Cricetulus griseus: one gene and its partner. The protein of the gene in region 2 binds, or shares a complex with, the protein of the main gene of each other region. Links are inferred from orthologs where the notes say so. Each region holds a gene or a part of one and is shown on either strand. Other genes may lie near its edges.

The links. The genes of interacting proteins can lie anywhere in the genome.
Region 1: Gtf2a1 (region 2) and Polr2c share a complex: the UniProt entries of both Homo sapiens proteins name them as parts of the TBP-based Pol II pre-initiation complex. The link is inferred for Cricetulus griseus from reciprocal best matches to the Homo sapiens genes GTF2A1 and POLR2C.

The regions. Positions count from the first base shown.
Region 1 is NC_048596.1:171,079,469-171,083,584, forward strand, and holds the start of Polr2c (DNA-directed RNA polymerase II subunit RPB3), read left to right. Parts: upstream 1-1,313; 5' UTR 1,314-1,385; coding exon 1,386-1,471; intron 1,472-1,568; coding exon 1,569-1,618; intron 1,619-4,116. UniProt on the Homo sapiens protein: Core component of RNA polymerase II (Pol II), a DNA-dependent RNA polymerase which synthesizes mRNA precursors and many functional non-coding RNAs using the four ribonucleoside triphosphates as substrates.
Region 2 is NC_048598.1:113,312,164-113,316,314, forward strand, and holds the start of Gtf2a1 (transcription initiation factor IIA subunit 1), read left to right. Parts: upstream 1-1,301; 5' UTR 1,302-1,722; coding exon 1,723-1,752; intron 1,753-4,151. UniProt on the Homo sapiens protein: TFIIA is a component of the transcription machinery of RNA polymerase II and plays an important role in transcriptional activation. TFIIA in a complex with TBP mediates transcriptional activity.

The sequences.
Region 1 (4,116 bases), on a different chromosome or scaffold from region 2:
CAGTTTTTTGTTAATTATTGTTACACACACATTCCTAATACATGAATACAACCTGTTCAATTCTTGTAATGTTACCTGTATTTATATGATCCTGGGGCTTTTGATATTATATTGGATAACCCATTGCAGGGCTCTTCCCTGAGGAAGGTTATTTCTACCACTTTCAGCATCCCCCGGTTCTTTGTGTAGGGTTGAGATCCCTCTCCCTTCCATGTTAACATGTCCATTGGCGTCGTTGTTCAAGCCTCATTTAGGCAGTAATGTTGGTGAGACTTGATGTGTGTAGCCTTTGTAACATTTCTAGGAGACACAATCTCACGGCAAACGTAACGTTCCTCTGGTTCTTACAGTCATTCCACTCCTCCTTCCTCAAGGATCCCTGAGCCTTGGGTGTTGAATTAGCTGCAGATGTATCAGTTGAGACTGAGCACACAACAGTCTCTTGTTCTCTGCAATTTTAACTGGTTGTGGGTTTTTTTGTTGTTGTTGTTCTTGATGTTTTGTTTTTGTAATGGTCTCCATCCTTTGCAAAGAAAAATTTCTTTGATGAGAGGTAAGAACTGTATTATCTTCACATGGTTCCCCTGAGAATCTTTAGAACCTTGATCCTTCTTCCAGAAACCAGCAGATGCCCCCTCAAACAAATGTGTCAAATTGCCATCTCTCTTTCACATTAGTAAGAGAAGCCCTCTTACTACTGGTCAAATGTCTCCTTGCTTCATATAGTTTCAGAGGCTTAGTTCATTATCATCATGGCAGCATGGAGCATGGCAGCATGCATGGTGCTGGAGAAGTAGCTGAGAGCTGTTTACATCCAGATCCAAGAATAACAGGCATAGAATATTTTTTAAATTATTTATGTATACGGGTGTCTTGCTTGCATGTATGTCTGTGCACCATGTGCATACCTCGTGCCTTCATGCCAGGAGAGGGCATCAGATCCCCAGAAACTGGGGTTAAAGGCATTAGTCGCCATTCGGGCGCTGGGAATCCAATCCAAGTCTTACAGAAAAGCAGCCGGTGCTCTTAACCATTGAGCCCCATATGTATGTATGTTTAACCAAGTCTCCATCCATCATTACCTAATGAGTTATTCTTAGCAATTACAAGTAAGTAGCACTGGTATGAATAACCCTGTACATGTACCTTTGACCTTTGTGCTATATATCTTGGGGATTCCAAGAGTGTAGGGCCTGGTGCTTTTTGGAAGCAGAAATTTTGGAGAGTGTGGTTAGAAAACGCAGACCAGGAGAGTTTCGGCCTCCGGTCAGCAGGTGGCGCTGCGCGCACGCCTAGCCGGAAGCGCCAGGGACCCCGCCGACAAATTGCTGGTGGCGGCGCAGGCGCGCTGCGGGACTGGCTCGGGAGACTGGCTGCGGGTCGCAATGCCGTACGCCAACCAGCCAACCGTGCGGATCACGGAACTCACCGAAGAGAACGTCAAATTCATCATCGAGAACACGGACCTGGCGTAAGGCGGCGGGAAAGAGGCGGGCGGGCGGGTCCTCTGGCCCCCTGCGGGGCTGTGGCTTCGGGGCCGCTCACACGGTCTGGCTTTCCTCCTGTAGGGTGGCCAATTCCATTCGGAGGGTCTTCATCGCCGAGGTGCCCATAATAGGTATGCGACCCTCCCCCGGGGCCCCTGCCGCTGCCCCTCGGCCCCAGGCGGGGGGCTGAGAACACTGCGGTGCTGCACGCTGGGCTGGGGCCGCCGGGGCCAGCAAGCCTTGGTGCGCGCCTTGCTCGGCAGTGTGGATCCCAGCACAGTTCTGACTACCCGAAAGCAACAGATAAATTAAGACTAAGCACTACCAAAGAGCTGAGAGCTGCGGCCTCCTTATCCATAGGATGTAGACGCTAGGACTCGTTAACAGATGATACCCGGGATTACCGAAGTCGTGTAGATATCGCGCCTTTACTTTTAAGTCAGTGTTGGATTTGGGTGTCTTTTGAAAACGTATGTTAATTGTACATAATAACGGGCTTCGTTAGGACATTTTCACGGACCCCCCCCCCCCCAGTACTTGAATTGTATTCATTTCCCCATCCTTTCCTTTTATTCCCCTACTACTGTTGTCTCCCGGCCTTCTTGATAGTACCCTGCAATATTTTCTTGTCTCTGACTCTCTCTTCTCTAAAACATATTTATTTACGTATATATGCATGTGTGGAGGTTGTACAGCTTGTGGGAGGGATTGAACTCAAGTCTTGACAAGTAAGTGCCTTTACCCTGCTGATCCATCTCGCAGCCTGGAACTCTATTTAAAAGACTTATTTATTATGTATACAGTGTCCTGCCTGCAGGCCTTAAGAGGGCACCAGATCTCATTATAGATGGTTGTGAGCCACCATGTAGTTGCTAGGAATTGAACTCAGGATCTCTGGAAGAACAACCAGTGCTCTTAACCTATGAGCCATCTCTCCAGCCCCGAATTCTCCCTTCTTAAAAGTTGAGATTCAAAAAATAAATAAAAATAAAAATTTAAAAAAGTTGAGATTCCGCATGAGAGAAAGCATGTTTATTTTTATGACTTCTTCCTGCAAATGACATACTTTTGTTTTTTTATGGTTGAATAATACTCTGTGTGTGTTTGTAATACCACTTTTTAAAAAGTCTCTTTTTAAAAAATGGATCTCTTACTTCCTCTGCATGTGTAGATCATGTACATTCCAAGCTAGGTGTAGAGACAAGACATGGGCAAACACAAGGCAAAAAATGACAGGTGTCTTGGGGGGTTTTCATCAGGTTTTCTTTTTTCTTTTTTTTTTTTTTGTTTTTTTTTTTTTTTGAGAGAGACAGACAGACAGTGGAAGGAAGGAAGGAAGGAAGGAAGGAAGGAAGGGAGGGAGGGAGCTCAAAAGGAGGGAGTGGCAGCATCTGTAGACACACAAGGTTTTTAGAGGCTAGGAGTTTTCACCTGCCAGGGTGTGGGAGGGTGGGGAGGTAGAATAAAGGCATGGGAAAGCTTGGATGTGTGCCCTTGCTTGGGTTGAGGAAGTACTGCAGGGCAGAGCAGGTTGAGCCTATCATTGTCTGGTCTTCTGACCTCTTTTCCATGTGTCCATGCCGGTTATTTGAGAACTGGGCTCTAACACCATTTGGTTTCTGAATTTCATTGTTTACATGCAGGTGTTTGCTTATGAATGACTAGGTACATATTTAAGTGAAGCCTCTGTAAGCACATAGTCTTATTCTGCGAGCAATGAAATGGGAGGGATTGGGTTTTATTGTTAGTATTTGCTTCCTATTGAAGATGTTCAGTGAACAGCCACTGATGAGAGTAACACTGAAATTCTAAGGGGTGATCTGGTTATTTCATAAAATGAGATGTGGATCACAGCAGTGTTGCTTCTATGATGTTTTCCCTAACTTTAAATTTTTAAATTATTTTTAATTATGTCTCTGTGTGTGGGTCTGTGCAGGTGGAGGCAGGTGCTAGAGGAGACTAGGGGGTCTCAGATTCCCCTGGAGCTGGAGTTCCAAGCAGTTGTGAGCCACCTGCCATGGGTGCTGGGAACCTCTTAACCACTGAGCCATCCCTCCAACCCATGTTTCCCCCAACTTCTAAGTGCCCAAATAGCTTTTGTTCTTGGATATGATAGTAACAGAATATAGCAGATTTAAAGTGCTCTTTGGGGAAATATTCAATTCCCTAATTATTACACTCCTAAAATACTCTCTAAGTGAATGTTTATTTTTATGGTACCAGTAAGCCCTATACCCAATTCACTGGAGGCAGCACGGTGTTAGGTATGGTGTGTATGTGTGTGTGGTTTGTTTAAATTGGCTGCCTGAACCTCGAGCTAGCCCTGTGGAGGCAGTCTGTGGCAGCCTGGCCTGGATACCATCAACCCTAAAAACAGTGATTCTTTTCTTTCTTTTATAAATTTGGTTGGTTGGTTGGGTTGGTTTTTTTTGGGGGGGTGGGGTGGGGTGTTTGGTTGGTTGGCTGGTTGGTTGGTTGGTTAGTTGGTTTTTTTTTTTTCAGGACAAGGTTTCTCTTGTAGCCCTGGTTGTCCTAGAATTCACAGAGTTCTGCCTGACTCTGCCTTCCAAGTGCTGATCACTAAGTAATACTTAAGTCTTGAGAACAGGGCTGTATGTCTGGAGATGCT
Region 2 (4,151 bases):
GCAGGCTATACATTTTACTTGCTCTGCTAGTCTTTTGATATTCACATACTGGCTTCACGGAATAGTATGACGTAGCTCGATTAGATCTGCTTTTTGAATATAAACTTCACACTTTCACATTACATTTTATTTGTTCTCAAGTCCCTGGGACCAGGAAAAGTGTCACTTAAATTCTGCCCACCGAACAGGAGTCTGTTCTGTGAACTACTGATACCGAGGCAGGATTTGGTTGGATGTCAAGGGTCATCTGCTGATAATTGCATGCTAAGATAGAAGCAGAATCTGCCTGATCTCTTGTTAAGTGACAGGCCAGGCAAGTTGGTGAGTCAGGGGCATGGATTTCAGATGTGGTTAGTCACCATGTGCTGGCCAATGTGCAAATCCCTTTACTTTGCTAACGTGACAGAACAGAAGCGGTTAAGATTGACGGGTGGTCCACACTCGGGTGGGTTGTATCCGAGTTCGTTTTCCTTTTTCGTCCTTTCCACCACACTAAGAAGTCATTTAGGGAACCTGGGATGGTAGAGGCTGAATCTCTGGGGGGGGGGGGTACTTACGGTAAACCAAACCACTTTATAGCCTAAATCTGTAGAGACAAACAGCTCAAAACGCCTTCAGGAGTTCCTAATTCCGGAACGTGGAGAGCGTAATGAGCACAAAGCTTTCATCTCCTTGCCACTTGCACACAACTTCGCAGACCGCTCTGTCCTTCGCAAGAGGCGCCAACTTCCTCCCCGTTTGACCTGGGCTCACGAATCCAAAGATGACTCCGCATTTAAAACTGTCCCAAGCCCCAGCGCGCGGGGGCCCGGAAGCGGGACCTCGTGACGCGCCCTCCCTCCCTTCCTCCCTCTAAAGAGTCCGCCGCCCCCTAGGCTACTCCATCCAGCGGCGTCGGGCGCCCACCCGAAGCCGTGTTAGGTACCCCCAAATTCTTGACTGGGTGGCGGACACTAACTCAACCAGCCTCCTCCGTTCCCACCTCCCGGCCACCTCGCTCCCGGCACACCACCGCGGGCCGCTTCCGCCCGTGTGCCGACCACGTGATCACGCGAGACTCGGGCGGGGCGGAGGGAAAAGAAAAAAAAAAAGGCGGCGGCTCGCCTTCTTTTACTCTAGTCCCCGCGGCCCCGCCCACCGGCCCCAGCCCCCGGGGCGAGCGACGCCCCGGCGCGCGTGCGCACGCGGCTCTCGCGGTGTCTCGCGCTCGGCCCCGCCCCCCGCTGCCCCGCCCTTTCCGCCCCTCCGCCTCCGCCCTGTGTCTCGGCGGCAGCGGCGGCGGCGGCGGCGGCTCGCGCAGCTTGTTGGCTCGCTATATAAAGGGGAGAAGCAGGCGGACCGGACGGCTGGAGCTGCAGCCGGTGGCGGCAGCGGCGGCGGCGGCGGCGCTGGGAGCGGTGACCGGTGTTGGTTTCCCTCCGCGGCGCCGAGTGGGGAGCGGGCGACGCCCCCTAACCCCCGAGGGGTCGTGGCTTCTTCTTTTTTTTTTTTTTTTTCTTTTCCTGAGGGCGATTCTCGAGGCTTTTAGCCGCGGGAGGAGTTGCCCCCCCTCCTCCTGCTCTCCCGCCTCTTGACTCCCTCAGGATCGGTTTTGTTGAACAAATTTTCGCCCCACTCTTGCGGGTGACTTGGGTCACCCTCCGGGTCTCTTTTTAAGTTTTTTTTTTTAATTTTTTTTTTTTTTTTAAATCTCGTTCCCTCTTGTTTGTGTTGTGTGTGGAAATGGCGAACTCGGCAAACACAAACACCGTGGTAAGGACGTGGTGCGGTGGCCGGCGGGGGCTGCGAAGGTTCCGGCGGCAGGCAACGGCCGGGGCGGGCGGGGGCGGGCCGGGCGAGGCGGCGCTCCCCACCCGGTTCCCTCCGTCCTCCTCCGCCTCTGCCGCTGCCGCCGCGGGCCTGACCGGGCGGGGGGCGCCGAGGGCTGGCGGGCGGAGGGCGGCGGGGCCGGGAGCGCCGCGGGGGCGGGCCACGCAGGCCGTTGGGCCCTGGCTGCCGACCCCGGGGCGAGGACAGGTGGGCGGCGACCCCCACGCGGGGCCCGGACCCGGCCAGCCCCCGAGCGGAGCGGCCGTGGGTCGGTCGATCCCCCCCCCACGAGCCTGGGGAGCCAGCCGCTCGGACGCTGCCAAGTTCGGCGTGCCTTCGGGGGCTCTCTGGAGGTGGTGCTTTGGAAAGCCTGCGCTGGGGCCGATTTTGCTAATCCTACCCCCCAAAAAAAAACCAGAGGAAAAAAAAAATGAAGGTTGGAAAGCACTTATCTCGGTTCCTCCCCAGTGGGTAAAATGGCGAAGGGGAAGCAAAAAGAAAAAAAAAAAGAAAAAGAAAAAAAACCCGTGGTACCTACGACTAGCAAAAGCACCAGAACAAACAAAGCCTTACAGTGACTGGCCCAAGTGTCCACGCATTCGCCTTGAAATTTGCCTACTTCTTCCCGCCGCTCCCTTTTTTGGTTCCTTGCGATCCACGTAGGTTTGCAAAAAGCAGTCACATAAAGAAATAACCTTTTCAATAGTCACCAACGCAGTGTGATCACTAGGCCACCCCCAACTTGATTTTTTTTAATTATGAAAATAAAACACGTGTTTTTGTTTTATTCTTTTGTTTCTTTTTTTTTTTAATTTTTTTGCCCGGTCCCAAACGCCGCAGAGCAGCTCGCTGCTGCCCGACACCGTACCGTTGGCGACTCGGGTAGATCCATCATGGCTGCGGCCGCTTACCCTGCATTTCAGTGCCTGCGCCTTGTGGTCCTCCTCCCTTTGGCTGCCCTGTTTATATAGAGCCATTGCCGCTCTCTAATATAGACTCTGCCAGGATGGGAAGGTGCTTTTCAGGCCTACGTCACCGCCTCTCCATTTAAACACCAGATCCGGCTTTAAATAGTGAGAGCTGCTGAGCGCGGGGCTGGGAGGTGCGTGCTCCCGAGCGAGAGGCGCCCGCATGCGGAGCTCAATTTATTTCTAGGTTCCCTTCACGCCGAAATTTCGCTTCCGAGCCGGGAAGCTGCTTTCTCGAATCCGCGAGTGTTATTACTGTAACAGCTAGGATATGCCGCCTTTGTTTGTAGTGGGAAGTAGGTCAGAATTGCTGCAGCGTTTTGGCCTTAAAAAAACAAAACAAAACAAACAAAAACCCTTTATATAGAGAGTTTAATGGTAAACCATTTTAGGTGACATAGGGTGATTGTTCTTTTTATCTTCCTTGAAGAGGTGCCTTCAACATTCTCGGCTTATATATATATGTATATGTATATGTATTATTTAAAATGTTTCTCCCGCAGAGGACTTGGGCTTGGCAGTGTTTTGTTCATCAGGTATCCAGGAAATGTTAGAAATCACAGCTTGTAACATTTCATCGTGTTTTCTTAATACAAATCCCCAAGGCACAAAGCTTTTCAAAGAAATAGTGACAGACGCTTACGTGTGAGATCTTATGCCCACAATACATTGAAGTGGAGAGGCATGCCCTGAATTGGATTTTAAGAATTAAAGGTCAGGTGGTGGTTTTAATTGTACCAGGTTAACATGGGGTCCAGCATAAAAATCCACCCCATTTACTTAATACTGTGCTAGAAAATTAGTATTTCCTAAAAGGAACCCTTCAGTGAATCACTGATGATGCCACATGTGGCCTCTCATTTGCTGGTTTCAAAGTTTGGGATACTGTGTTTTGAAAGGACAGATCTAAATGACTTTTATGCAATAAAGACAAAAACTGGCTCAATTTTAGAATTGAAGCATTTCCCTTTTTTCTTTCAACCACAGTGAAACCCGGTTTGTACCTAAGTGTTTGAATCTCTAAGGAGAAGATTTTGGGGGAACTGATTTCTGAAACATGAAAACATCTGTTCTCTTGGAAAAATGTCCTACCAAGTTAAAATTAATATGCCCCGTGTACAGTTTAGTGGAGTGGCTTGAAGGGCTGGGGACAGACAGACAGACAGACAGACAGACAGACAGACAGACACACACACACACACACACACACACAAGTTTTGTATCACTAAATACTGATGAGGCTGCTGGGGATCAGCAGGAACTGACTAGTGAACAAAAAGTTCCCCATGTATGAAATTGGAAAGGGTATGAGATCAGGCAGGGGTTAAACCAAGCATGGGTAGTAGGGACCAGACATGATCATAAATATTAGTC